Sus scrofa: one gene and its partner. Each later gene encodes a partner of the first gene's protein in a complex. Links are inferred from orthologs where the notes say so. Each region holds a gene or a part of one and is shown on either strand. Other genes may lie near its edges. The genes, in order: POLE2 and POLE4.

Region 1 (7,026 bases):
TCACACAGTTCCCATAGGTAGGGAATTTAGAAACAGCCCAGCTGGATGGTTCAGAGTGGTCTCTCATGAGTTTGAAGTCAAAATATTGGACAGAATTGTGATTCTCCAAAGACTTCACCAGGCCTGGAAGATCTGTTTCTTTTCTTTCTCTCTCCCTCTTTCTTTCTTTCCTTTTTTCTTTCGTTTTCTTGGTGTGTTTTTTTTTTTTTTTTTTTTTTGGTGTTTTTAGGGCCTCACCTATGGCGTATGGAGGTTCCTAAGCTGGGGATTGAATCAGAACTGTATCTGCTGACCTAGGCCACAGCCACAGCAGTGTGAGATCTAAGCCTCGTCTGCGACCTACACCAAGCTCATGGCAATGTGAGATCCTTAACTCACTGAGCGAAGGGATCAAACTTGCATTCTCATGGATACTAGGCAGATTCATTTTGCTGAGCCATGCAGGGAACTCCCTGGGAGATCTGTTTTGGAAATTGCTCACAAACACTGACATGTGGATGGAAAGCTGGTGCTGGATATTGGCAGGAGGCCTCCATTTCTTAACACATGGACCTTTCTAAGAATTGCTTGAGGGCAGCTGGCTTCCCCAAGAGAATATTTGGTGATTTTGCTGTTTAAGGTGGATGCCAAGCATAGTGCTGAAATACTTTCTAGTTTTCAAAGCATTAGCAGGCTGTAAGAAAACACGTGTGCTAGATAAACTTCCATCAGGCAGGAATTGTAGTGCTGCTGGCTCTGAGTTCAGTGTTAACGAATCAACAATATATAATTAAAGATGTCTTTCAACAGAAACACACATAAAACAAGAGTATTATTAATCAGTCAATGAAAAGTTTGTGGCCAGAGGCTCAGAGGAAACTTACCCTGTATTTCTCGTAGGAGCAATGATTGAGTATTTGCTAATTCAGTATTAGTAAATACTAATACTGCCTTGAATATAATCGCCTTGAATAATGAAAATCAGCTGTATATTTATCTATTTTTATTTCCTTTCTTACATTAAAGTTCAAATTTTTTTTGCAGGTTTTTAAAATTTTTGGAATGTATTTCACCGTGAATATACAGAGAACTATGTTCAGAAGTCACTTTTCTCTGTTATGTTGCATTACCAATACAGGTATATTGGTTTTGGTCTGCTTGCAGTTTTGTTTGCTCTTTTTCTTTTCTCTTTTTTGAAACTGTAAAACATAAACATGGCTTGACAGTCAATATTCTGACTACAAAGAAAGGTCTCTCTTCCTCCTTATCTCCTTCAGCCTTTAATGGTTAACCTTTTTTGTGTGTGTCCAGTGTAATCTTTCAGAGGTTTTTTAAAAATACAAAGTCAAATAAATATGTATATATATTCTTATTTCCTCTCCTTTACCATACTTTACTCTTTGTTATTGATTTTATCCAGACACCCTGGAGGTCATGGCATATCATTTCTTAGAAAGCATCCTCACGGTTTTTTAAGACTGTGTGTTCACGTAGAAGCACTGCATGGTTTTATTCAAATCTTCGGAGCAAGAGTTTTGAAGAGTGGCAGATTAACAGTCCACTTGCTGGAATCAGAATCAGTTAAAATCCTGGCTCTACCACTTACTTACTAAATCTTTCATCTTGAACGAGCCATCCACCATCTTTGAGTCTCACATTCCCCACTGTAAAATGAGGATGTTGAAAAAATAGCACACAACTCATTCGGCTTTATGAACATGACATTAATTCATTTAAAGCGCTTATTGTAGTGCATGACGCATAGAAAGTCTGCAACTGCAATTAAAAGCGGGATGGGTGAAAATGATGGTGATGCGTAGCAACTTCGAGTGAATGTCGGGGAAAGCCCTGTGGTGACACAGAGTATTTCCAGGGCCTGTGTGAAGCAGAGAACGTAAGTGCACAAGAGCCCTGGGTCCGGGATGAGCCTGATCCGAGTCAAGGAAGGTGGAGGGCAGCGATGATAGAGCACTGATTAGCTCAATGAAGCATTTAATATAGGGGAAGTCCATTCCCAACCAGACACTAGGGAAGGAAGCTCTCGCTCGTCAGTTTCGAGCAACAAAGCACCGCAGGGACTTCTTCTCCTGCAGCCCAGACCCTGCGAAGCTTCAGCCAGCCTGCACGCGAAGCTGCCAAAATCTTCGCACTAAGGTCGGAGCAGCAGCTGTCGGGACCTGTGCGTCCGGGGCGGGGCCAGGGCGGAGCGCGCCCGGGAAGGGGCGGGGTTGCGGCCGTGGCGCCAAAACGCGAACATGGCGCCGGATCGGTTGCGGAGCCGGGCTCTCTCTGCCTTTAAGCTCCGCGGCTTGCTGCTCCGGGGGTAAGTCGGCAGGGCAGCTGGCGAGGCGAGAGGGGAGAGCCTGAGCCAGGAAGCCCGGCCAGGCGGCGTGGCAGCGGGATGCACCGCGCGCGGAGAGGGGGTTTGGCCTTAAAATGATAGAGACCCTTCAAGGGTTCTAAGAAGGGAAGAGGATCTGGCGATGCCTTAGGTTTCCCCAACGTTCATACGGAGTGAAAAGTTTCTCCCGAAAGAAATGAGGCTTTCCTGCACGTGTCAAGCAGCCGGAGAAGCAGTGATCGGTGCCGCAGCAGCGGTGCACCAGCAGGGTGCTTGGGCACCTCTCAGCCCCCTTTAGGGCTCCGCCAAATAGGAATCCTTAACCGTGCTGCTTCACCTAGTTACTGAGACAGCGAATGAGAGACCTGGGAAAGCCCATTGCATTTCGGTAGCTGTCAGGTTATACTGTAGCAATTGTGGGCTCTGCCAGCCTTCCTAATTTTGGATCGGGTATTATTCTTGAGAGAGAATTCCTGGAGAGTTAAGAAACGGGTAGGTTTGAAGCGTGTTTCTAGGTATCCTTGGCCTTTTTAAAAAAATTCTTTTAGAATTTCTCTGATAGGTTTCCTGACCATATCTGTGTTTTCTATTAGTTATAGAATGAACCCTCCCAAGGTATCAGGTTTTGATTGCTCTTGTGTGTGTAGCGGTTTTTTGGGTTGCTTTTGTAATGATGAGTTTTATGGGACTTTTAACCTTGCTTTTGGGTTAGTGGTGAACAAGGGTAAGAATCGATATGCTCTAGGAGAGAATAATGAATTTTGTTTAGTTGATCCCTGACATTTTGAAAATGTGAGCACTTGCTCAGTTAATTTTTCTTTCTTTTCACTTAGAATTTGACCTGATATTGAACTGTCATTCATTAGTTCAGTCAGAAAGAGACTGAAATCTATTAGCTGCGAAGTACTATTGGGGCAAGGGAGTAGGAATAAGACACAGCAGACCTTGGGGGCAGATAGTATGTTAATTGTCTATTGCTGCATAACTAATTACCCCCAAATTTAGAACTTTAAAATGTCATGAGTGACAGAACATTGTAAATCAACTATAATAAATTAATATAATAAAATAATTTAAAAATAAAATCTCGTGCGCTTATAGTCCTTCATTTTCCATGGGTCAGGAATTCAGGTGGGCTTAGCTAGGTCCTCAGCTTCAGAGTCTCATGTAAGGCTGCACGGTCAAGATGGGATCATCTCAGATGTCCGTTGGGCAGTTTGCTTCCAAGCTCATTCAGTGATTGGCAGGATTCAGTTCATCCAGGATTGTTGGACTGAGGGCTTCAGTCTTTGTGAGCTACTGGGCCTCCCCAGCATGGCATCTTACTTCATCAAAGCCAGCAAGAGAGTCAGCTATAAGTGGAAGTCAAATCTTTTGTAACCTAAGCAAGAAGGTGACATCTTGTCGCTTTAAATTTTTATTTTTAGAACTACAATACAGTAAACTATTCTATCATGTTTGCTATATTCTATTGTTAGAAGCAAGTCACTAGGTCCAGCCCACACTCATGGAAAGGTGATTGCACAAGGATATGAGTACTAGGTGGTATGGATTATTAAGGATCTTCTTAGAAGTCTATCTACTATAGATATCAAATAATTCATAATTACTTACTTTCAATCGTGAAAGGATCCGAGGAAGGGAAAGCTATGATAGTATATAGCCAGGTGTGTAAATAGTTCTAGAGTCAAGGAATACTTCATTAAAGAATGGTTTGAGCCAAGTGTTAAAGGATAAGCAGGACTTGTTGACTAGGTGAAGAATGGGGAGGGGGCGGTGGTGGTGAGGAATGACTGTATAAAGACCCTGAGGTAGGAGAGCACCGAGGCCAGAGACACTGGACAGGCCTAATGAGATTCTGTAGGGCCCAGATCCTATATTACTTTGGTCTGTCCTAAAAACTCTCCTAAGATTCACTCAATATGTGTGTGATTTTAGGGACTCAGGCATCAAATATTTATGGGCCACTTTCAGTGTGCTTAGCGCTCTGCCAAAGGATGACACAGTTCCATTTCTCAAGGAGCATCATCTATAATAAATTGGAGGGATGTGACACCCACATATGAAACAAGAAGCAACCCAAGATATAGGACAGTAAGATAATGTGAAGTGTAAAATTGTGTTCCGCAAATACACAATGGCGTGGATTTAGGTAATTGTTTAAGAAGACAGTGTTTGGGGTTCCCCTTGTGGTACAGCAGAAACAAATCCAACCAGTATCCATGAGGATGCACGTTTGATCCCTGGCCTCCTTCAATGGCTCAGGGATCTGACGTTGCCGTGAGCTGTGCTGTAGGTTGCAGACGAGGCTTAGATCCCTCGTTGCTGTGGCTATGGTGTAGGCTGGCAGCTGTAGCTCTGATTTGACCCCTAGTCCAGGAACTTCCGTGTGCCACAGTTGCAGCCCTAAAAAGACCAAAAAAAAAAAAAAAAAAAAAAAAAGGCAGTGTTCAATCTGAGTATTATTGGAATTAAAATTAGAAGTTCATTTGATTTTTAAAAAGCTGGAGTTCCCGTCGTGGCACAGTGGTTAACGAATCCGACTAGGAACCATGAGGTTGCGGGTTCGGTCCCTGCCCTTGCTCAGTGGGTTGACGATCTGGCGTTGCCGTGAGCTGTGGTGTAGGTCACAGACGTGGCTCGGATCCCGCGTTGCTGTGGCTCTGGCATAGGCCGGCGGCTACAGCTCCGATTCAACCCCTAGCCTGGGAACTTCCATATGCCGCAGGAGCGGCCCCAGAAATAGCAAAAAGACAAAAAAAAAAAAAAAAAAGTTGCAGCTTTATTTACTTTGTGAGTGGGAGATGGGAGGGATTCATGTGATTTTGATGGGTATTATTACTTCTATGACTATATTCAAAGGTCAGAGTTTTTTCTAGCATCATTTTTTTTCTGATTTTACAATTGAAAACAAAAGTGGGAGTTCCCGTCGTGGCGCAGTGGTTAACGAATCCGACTAGGAACCATGAGGTTGCGGGTTCGATCCCTGCCCTCGCTCAGTGGGTTAACGATCCGGCGTTGCCGTGAGCTGTGGTGTAGGTTGCAGATGCGGCTCGGATCCCGCGTTGCTGTGGCTCTGGCGTAGGCCGGTGGCTACAGCTCCGATTCAACCCCTAGCCTGGGAACCTCCATATGCCGTGGGAGCGGCCCAAGAAATAGCAACAACAACAACAACAACAACAAAAAAAGACAAAAGACAAAAAAAAAAAAAAAAAAAAAAAAAGAAAACAAAAGTGAAATTACTAGAATTTAAGTAAATTCATTATCAAATTAATAAATATATATTTAAGTGCCTGTTATGTTCAGTACATTGAAGCCAAATGAGTTCTGCCTTAAATGTAATGTAAATGGTACAAGGCTAATGTGATGTAGCAGATCGAAGGTACCTATAAGTGAGATTTTTAGTGATTTCAGAAGGAAAGGGAGATTGCAATAGATAAGGCTGGTCGAGGGAGGCTTCTTAGAAGAAGCATGTGATGTGGGGTTTTAAGAACGGTTATATGGGCAGGGTATAGGAGGAAAATTTCATTCAGAAAGCACAAGCAGGAGTTCCCGTCGTGGCGCAGTGGTTAACGAATCCGACTAGGAACCATGGGGTTGCGGGTTCGGTCCTTGCCCTTGCTCAGTGGGTTAACGATCCGGCGTTGCCGTGAGCTGTGGTGTAGGTGGCAGATGTGGCTCGGATCCTGCGTTGCTGTGGCTCTGGCGTAGGCCGGTGGCTACAGCTCCGATTGGACCTGGGAACCTCCATATGCCGTGGGAGCGGCCCAAGAAATAGCAACAACAACAAAAAAGACAAAAGACAAAAAAAAAAAAAAAAGAAAGCACAGGCAAGGAGAGTACTACTTATAGGGAGGAGTGAGTGGACCTTAGTTTCAATCCCAGATTGATGAGTGTTTGCCAGATTTGGGCATAAAACCTTTAGCCTTAATTCCCAAAGATTTGCCTCACCTTTTCTTTCCCTCTCTTCTCAGTGAAGCTATTAAGTACCTCACAGGAGCTCTTCAATCTATCAATGAAGTAGAGCTTGAAGATGCACTGGAAAAGATCATTGATGCAGTTGAAAAGCAACCCTGTGAGTAACATTAAAATTTTTTTTAATGAAAGTATAGTTGATTTACAATGTTCTGCCATCTTCTGCTGTACAGCAAAGCAACCCAGCCATACATACACATACATTCTCTTTCTCGTATTGTCCTCCATCATGCTGCATCACAAGTGATTGGATATAGTTCCCTGTGAACATTTTCTGACAGCTCTTCAATTGATCATATAGTTCTGCATCCTCAGATTTATAGATTTAAGTAAAAGTTGAAGATTCAGTGTTTTAAGATGTCCCTGTGGTATAAGACATACCTCTGGTAGCCTTTGTTGCCAAGGGGTCACCTGCAGTTCTTTTGGAACCCAGAGACTTTTTTACAGTTCTTTCCTTTTGTGGATTCCCCTCTGATTCCTTTATGGTCATTTTTTTTTCCCTCTGCATGCCTATACTTTGTCTTACTTATGTTAGGTACTCTTCAGTGTGTGCAGGGGTGGGGGGTGGAAGAATGAGTGAGCAGGACTAACTTTCCCTTCTTGTTTCAGCCTTTCTTCAGGGATCGGTTTTTTTTGTTTTGTTTTGTTTTTTAATTACTCAAATGAATTTATCACATCTGTAGTTGTATAATGATCATAACAATCTGATTTCACAGGATTTCCATCCCACA
Region 2 (6,898 bases), on another chromosome or scaffold:
AGAGCACACAGAGAACGAGTTTATCTAAGATGGAAGCAAAATACATTAATACACACCCAAAAGAGGAGTGTGGGTGTCCCCCGGAATGAGGAGTGTGCCAGGGAGGCAATTTAAATCACTTATATAGGAAGTTCTTCTGGGTCTTTGTTTTCCTTTGGCCAATTATCTTGTTTTATTTCTCATACCTACTGGACCAGGGCCATCTCAGATATGCATGCATGTTTTTTTTTGTCAAGATGGTTTCCAGAGCAAAGGACTCTGGGATGGTATCAGGACTTATTATGGCCTGGCGCCCCTCCCCTTTTGACTCCTAGGAGGTTTACTGCATATGTGTAATTGGGGAGCTCTCCTTGACCCCCAGAGTGATTGAAGTGGTCATCTTATCTTTCTACTCCAGCAGAGCTCAGCTCTTGCCGTTAACTTTCCCCTTGAGGTGTCAAAAGAAGCAAGTCCCAATTTACGCAGCCCAACAAGTCCCTGCTCTTCTTAGCCCAGGGGGCCATCCACCTCCTATCTCAGACTGAAGATAAGGTGTGATGTGTTTGGGGAATACTGTAACTGAGCAGGACCCCGTGACGCCTTCCCAGAGTGGACCCCCACTCGTGCCCTCCACCTGCTTTTTTATCTACAGAGAAACTTTAGTCAAAGAATCAATTTAATCAGAGAAAGAAAATACAGAGAAAAAGGACAACAGTCAAGCAAGACAGAATAATAGTTTAGCCATTCAACAAAGTCAAAGACCTTTTAATGAATTGTCCTGCAAGGACTATAGATAATATTCTGAGCCATGTCCTTGGAGCTGTTTTGCAGGTGCTGAAGCCCCTACCAGGTGGAAGACTTCGACTGTATGCAGCCCACAAGAATATAGACCCCAGTCTGGTTGGAACCAGAAGGTTAATGACACTGACTCTTAATTATCTCACCACCCACTCATCAAGAAAATGCCCAGGAGCTGATCACGCCCTGCTCCTCAAACACTGTAAGACTCCTCACTACACCCTCCAAGGGAGTACAGGGGGGTCACAGTCCTTGAGTCACTAGCCTGCTGTGTTCCCTCTTTGACTGGCAATTAAAGCTACTTTCTCTGTTTCCTCCAACTCTACACCTTTCTGTTTGGCATTGTGTACAGAGGCAGCTGATATTTCCGGCAACAGTAAGGAGAAGGTGTCCAATAATCACCTTGGTGAGTAGGCAAGTAAGCAGAGCACGGTGACTGCTGGCTGCCTTGATTCTCACTTGAGACTAATGTCAAGACTCCTCTCCAATAAGAGCTTGGTGGGATGGGTGCTTTCTCATGTTCCTTCCGTCCTTGGGCTTTCCACACCAGCCCTGGGAGCCTATGTGTGATTCCTCTATTTTTTAGACTTCTCCTTACTCACTCATAGTCAATCCTGTTAGAGTAACTTTTTTTTTTTTTTTTTGTCTTTATGGGGCCGCACCTGTGGCATATGGAGGTTCCCAGGCTGGGGGTGGAATCAGAGCTATAGCCGCTGACCTACACCAGAGTCACAGCAACACCAGATCTGAGCCGTGTCTGCGACCCACACCACAGCTCATGGCAACGCTGGATCCTTAACTCACTGAGCAAGGCCAGGGATTGAACCTGTGTGTCCTCATGGGTGCTAGTCAGGTTTGTTTCTGCTGTGCCACGACGGGAACTCTTATAGTTTAACTTTTATGTTAAACTTTCTATTCAAATTACTTTCCCTGTTCAAACTCTGTGTAGTTTCCTTTTCCTAATTGGACTGTGATGCAGATGAGGTTTCGTCATGGGAAAGAGGGAAGAATTGTTGAAGCGATGCCCATCATTTACTTCTTTCCCCGCCTACATTTTTATTTCTCCTACTTTACTGTCTCCTCCAGGAGCATATACATTTGTCCAAGTTTCTCCTATATATTTCTATTACTGCTGTTTACTTTTACAATCAAGTTCTCAAAAGAGAGCTCAACTAGGTAGGACATCGCGTGAGATGCAAAGCAAACTGCAAAATCGGACCACCAGACCTCAGAAGCGCTGTGAGGGATAGAAAAGATTAAACGCCAGCCCTCCGCCTCTCTCACGGGATACTCCGCCACGCTGGCCGGTTGGGGGGGGGGCGGAGTCACGAGCCATCAGGGGGCGTGGCTGCCAGTGCGCGCGGGAAAGGGGCCGGCACCGCCTGCGCGCGCACAGTCGGCGGCCGCGCGCAGCACGCCCGGGGCCCGGATGGCGGCCGCGGTGGCGGCGGCAGCTGGAAGTGGGCCTGCCCGGGAAGAGGACAGCTCAGCTGGGGAGGCGGCGGCCCCGCAGCCCCAAGCCCCGACAAGTACGCCTGGGGCTCGTCTCTCGAGGCTACCTCTGGCGCGAGTGAAGGCCTTGGTGAAGGCGGACCCCGACGTGACGCTCGCGGGACAGGAAGCCATCTTCATCCTGGCACGAGCCGCGGTGCGGCGGGGAGCGCCTGGGTCACCTAGTGGGGCGGGGCGGGGCCTCGGGGGCCTTTCGGAAGGGCGGAGCTTAGCTGTATTTGGGGCCAAATTTGAGATGTGAGCGTGGGCAGTAAGAAGGCCATCTGGGGCAGGTTGTGCTGAGGCCCGAGAGGTTAGAGGGGTGCTGGGGCCGGATACTGAGTTGTGAGTATCGGGAGGGAAGACAGAGAAAGGGTCACATGCAGTACTTGTATTGGTTTCGTAGGACCTACCTCTTCCGCGACTTTGATTTGTGTCTCTAGTCTAACTTTATAACTTGTTTCAAGTAAGTGAGTGGGGTGAATCTTCAGAGTGAGGGAGGGACAGACGTGTCTGGACTACAGCAGGAGAGGGGAGGGGAATAGACTTTTATGAAGTCCAGGAGAAATTTCAGCTTCCCTGAGAACCTCCCCGTGCATCTGTGCCCTCTTCCACCCTTGGCCCCCACTCAAACAGGAACAAGCATTTGCACTAGAACTCGTGGATACAACTTTGCTTATTTTCTTTTTTCTTTTCTTTTAATTTTGGTTTGTTTATTACAATTTTTACTTTTTTCCCCTTCTGCTTTTCTTAATAGGAACTGTTTGTGGAGACCATTGCAAAGGATGCCTACTGCTGTGCTCAACAGGGAAAGAGGAAAACCCTTCAGAGGAGAGATTTGGGTAGACTGTCACTTTGGTGTCTTGCATCTGTGGGTACACAAGGGAGGGCTGGGCGAGACTCTCCTTACACTAGTTGAGAAGGCATCACTTTAAGATGAGGGACACCACAGGTCTCTTCCTATGATGTTTTCTGTTGAACTGTCACTGTGCCAGAAGATCGTGCCTCTCGAATGTCTGTTTTGGTTGGCTGGAGTGGTGTTGGGACAGAGAACCAAAAGGAGCCTGGATGTTGCCAAAGCTAACTAGACCCCTTTATTCCTTCTGCTATATTGTACCAGGCTTGTCGTTTTTTTTTTTTTTTTTTTTCCACCTAGAAAGGATAGGTTTGATTTCTGACTCTACTTTTTTCTACTCTAGAATGTGTGTAAATTTTCGTATACCACAATCTCACTTTCCTTGCTCTATAGCCAGACTCTCTTCTCTGATGACTTTCAGAGGAAAGAGGTTCCCCCCAGGGAACAGTATTTACCTAGGCTGTAGAGAGACAGCTGATACGTAGTATTTGGTGGTGGAGAAGATGTAGATCTCAAGATAGCAAGGGACAAATTTTATAAATGCTTATTTGCATAAAGCCTCAGGCCCTTCATTGTGTGTGTTGTGCTCTTGTAAGAGGTTTGATGCCTGTGTCCACAGTTAATCAGGTGTCCCTTTACCTTGTGTTTCAGATAATGCAATAGAAGCTGTGGACGAATTTGCTTTCCTGGAAGGTGAGTTCTCTATCAGGGGGTAGTCCTTTCCACTTGCCTTCTTTCCTTCCTCCTTCCTTCCCTCCTTAATCTCCTTCCCTCTTTATCCCCTTCCCTTCTTTCCTTCCTTTCTTCTTCTTCTTCTTCTTTTCTTTTTTTTAATGGCCACAGCCATGGCATATGGAAGGGATATGGGATTGAATCCAAGCCTCAGCTGTGACCTGCACTGCAGCTGCAGCAAAGCAGGATGCTTTAACCCACTACACCAGACCCAGGGATCTAACCAGCACCTGGGCAGCAACCAGAGCTGATGCAGATTCGTAACTCACTCTGCCACAGCAGGAACGCCTCCACTTGTCTTTCTCATGCTAAAATCTGAGTTCAAAACCTTATGAAATTGATGCCTGGTTCTTCCTTGTTCATGTAGGAGTAATTCTATTTCCTGTTAAGATAGGAAACACAAATTACAATTCAAATTCCTTTGGGTAATTAGAACTTTATGAAAACTGCTAACCATGAACAGTGGGAGGGACTGGAAAGACCCCAGTGGAGTTGGGGGATTTTCAGAAGTTTGTTTCTGACTTTGAGCCCCATCTCTAGATATAAATCTTACCCCTTATCATAATGCTAGAGATCAGAAACAATTGCCAACGTTTAAAGGGTTACCTCTTGTTCTTTTTTCTTCTTCAACAATCTCTCTAAAGTGATGATTTTGCCGCAGTGAGATTCTCTACTGGCCTGTATCTGTTTGTTCTTAAGAATCTTGGATTAACTCATGTGTACTAATTAAATCTTGTCATTGAAATAGAAAATATCTGAAATACCTCATTTTAACTCTCTTTACCTAGAGCTCTCTTCCTGCTGCCCCTAAATCTGATCAGTTTACTCTTCCCTGCATATAGATTGATTGAATAGTTTTGGAAAAGCCATGTACCTTTAGTTTCTCACTTTTAACGACCAGGGTTCTGTTTACCTCCTCAAAGCCTTAATACCTTCACATATCTTTTCTTGAATTTTTTTTTTTAAAGGCTGCACCTGAGGCATATGGAAGTTGCTGGGCTAGGAGTCAAATTAGAGCTGCAGCTGCCCTCGTATGCCACAACCACAGCAACACTGGATCTGAGCTGTGACTGGGACCTACACCACAGCTCACCACAATTGCCAGATCCTTAACCCACTGAGCAAGGCCAGGGACTGAAGCTGCATCCTTGTGGATACTAGTCAGGTTCTTAACCTGCTGAGCCACAGCAGGAACTCATCTTTCCTTGAAGTATTTATTTCACTATTTTTACTCCTTGGTTCTGCATCTATAATCAACTGAGGTCTCTGGCCCTTTTGAGATATTCTTTTAAATGCCTTTTAAGGTACATTCCCATGGTTAGCATTAAGCTTAGATTATTGATTATTCTCTTAATTTGTAGATTTTCTTTTTAAAGCCTCTTTTATGCTTAACTAATTTTTTTTTGGAAATAACTTATTAGCTCCCTACCTAAGGTAGGCAATGTCTTGTGACTGACAGCCTGTCAGTTCCTCAATCAAAAATGTTTGGAGCTTATTCTACCTGTTTATATTTTAATTTTAATTTTTTTTTTTTTGGCTACACCTTTGCCATATGGAAGTTCCCAGGCCAGGGATGAAATCTGAGTTGCACCTTCGACCTATGCCACAGCTGCAGCAATGCCAGTTCCTTAATCCACTGTGCCAGGCCAAGGATCAAACCCAGGCCGCCACCAGAGACAATGCTGGATCTTTAACTACTCTTGTGCCACAGTGGAACCCCTTTACTTTCTATTTAATTATTTTAATTTTAAAATATGGAACACTTTATGAATTTGCCTGTCATCCTTGCTCAGGGGCTGTGCTAATCTTCTCTCTATGGTTCTAATTTTAATATATATGCTGCCAAAGCAAGCACATCTATTTATTTATTTTTATTTACTAACTTCTCGAAGAAATGAGTGATATGATCAAATTTCTATTCAAAGATGTAAACTTACCAACCTATGGAAGTAAATTGGAGGGTCCTGGGAATAAAAGTGGAGAAAAACATAGGAAGTTTTCTGCTTTAGCCTATACCATGCATAGTGCTTGGTTTGGATTTTTTGTTTGTTTGTTTATCTTTGCTGAAACGTTTTATTTTATTTTTTTAAATCTCTGTTATTATTTTTGTTTTTTCCATTATAGCTGGTTTACAGTGTGCTTTCAATTTTCTATTATACACAAGGTGACCCAGTCACACATACATGTATACATTCTTTTTTCTCACATTATCATTCTCCATCATAAGTGAGTATATATAGTTCCCAGTGCTATACGGCAGGATCTCATTGCTTATCCATTCCAAAGACAATCTCTCTAACCCTAATTCCCAGTCCATCCCACTCCCTCCCCCTTGACAACCACAAGTCTGTTTTCCATGTCCGTGATTTTCTTTTATGTGGAAAGGTTCATTTGTGCCGGATAGTAGATTCCAGATAGGAGTGATATCATATGGTATTTGTCTTTCTCTTTCTGACTTACTTCACTTAATATGAGAGTCTTGGCTTGGATCTTTAATAAATGTCTATTTAATAAGTGGTGGAGATATGTTCATTTTCATCTTGGATTCAATAATCTCACTAGTTGAATCCCTCTGTTCTGTCCTACATTAGTAGATCTGAATTTTGATCATTTTAACCCCCATGGATTAAGTCACTGTTATATTATTTTGTACCTGGTAAAATATTTTTATGTCTTTGGATGTAGATGAGTTTCCTGCTGTGATAAGTGAAGATTTGGTTAATCTATACTACACCATCAATCCCTTGCCTCCTTTCTGATTTTTGGTAATTTTATCATTATTTTTAGTTCCTCTGTTACTTTTACAGTTTATTTAACATACTAAAATAAGTATTTTTTTGTTGTTGACTCCTTACTTTGTGTGGTACGGTTTTTCAGTTTCTACACTCAACCTACAAGATTTAATTATGATAGGAAGGTATGTTTTCAGCCTTGACAATGTCATACATAGCACACATATAGATGACACAGCGAGAACTAGTGCACTTCTCTCCTTTCTCAGAAGAATATATACACACATATGTATATTCTTTTCTAAGCCTT

Evidence for each region.
Region 2: POLE2 (region 1) and POLE4 share a complex: the UniProt entries of both Homo sapiens proteins name them as parts of the DNA polymerase epsilon complex. The link is inferred for Sus scrofa from reciprocal best matches to the Homo sapiens genes POLE2 and POLE4.

Annotation. Positions count from the first base shown.
Region 1 is NC_010443.5:179,525,064-179,532,089, reverse strand, and holds the start of POLE2 (DNA polymerase epsilon subunit 2), read left to right. Parts: upstream 1-2,198; 5' UTR 2,199-2,234; coding exon 2,235-2,302; intron 2,303-6,294; coding exon 6,295-6,395; intron 6,396-7,026. UniProt on the Homo sapiens protein: Accessory component of the DNA polymerase epsilon complex. Participates in DNA repair and in chromosomal DNA replication.
Region 2 is NC_010445.4:68,112,561-68,119,458, reverse strand, and holds the start of POLE4 (DNA polymerase epsilon subunit 4), read left to right. Parts: upstream 1-2,150; 5' UTR 2,151-2,206; coding exon 2,207-2,425; intron 2,426-3,025; coding exon 3,026-3,110; intron 3,111-3,775; coding exon 3,776-3,817; intron 3,818-6,898. UniProt on the Homo sapiens protein: Accessory component of the DNA polymerase epsilon complex. Participates in DNA repair and in chromosomal DNA replication.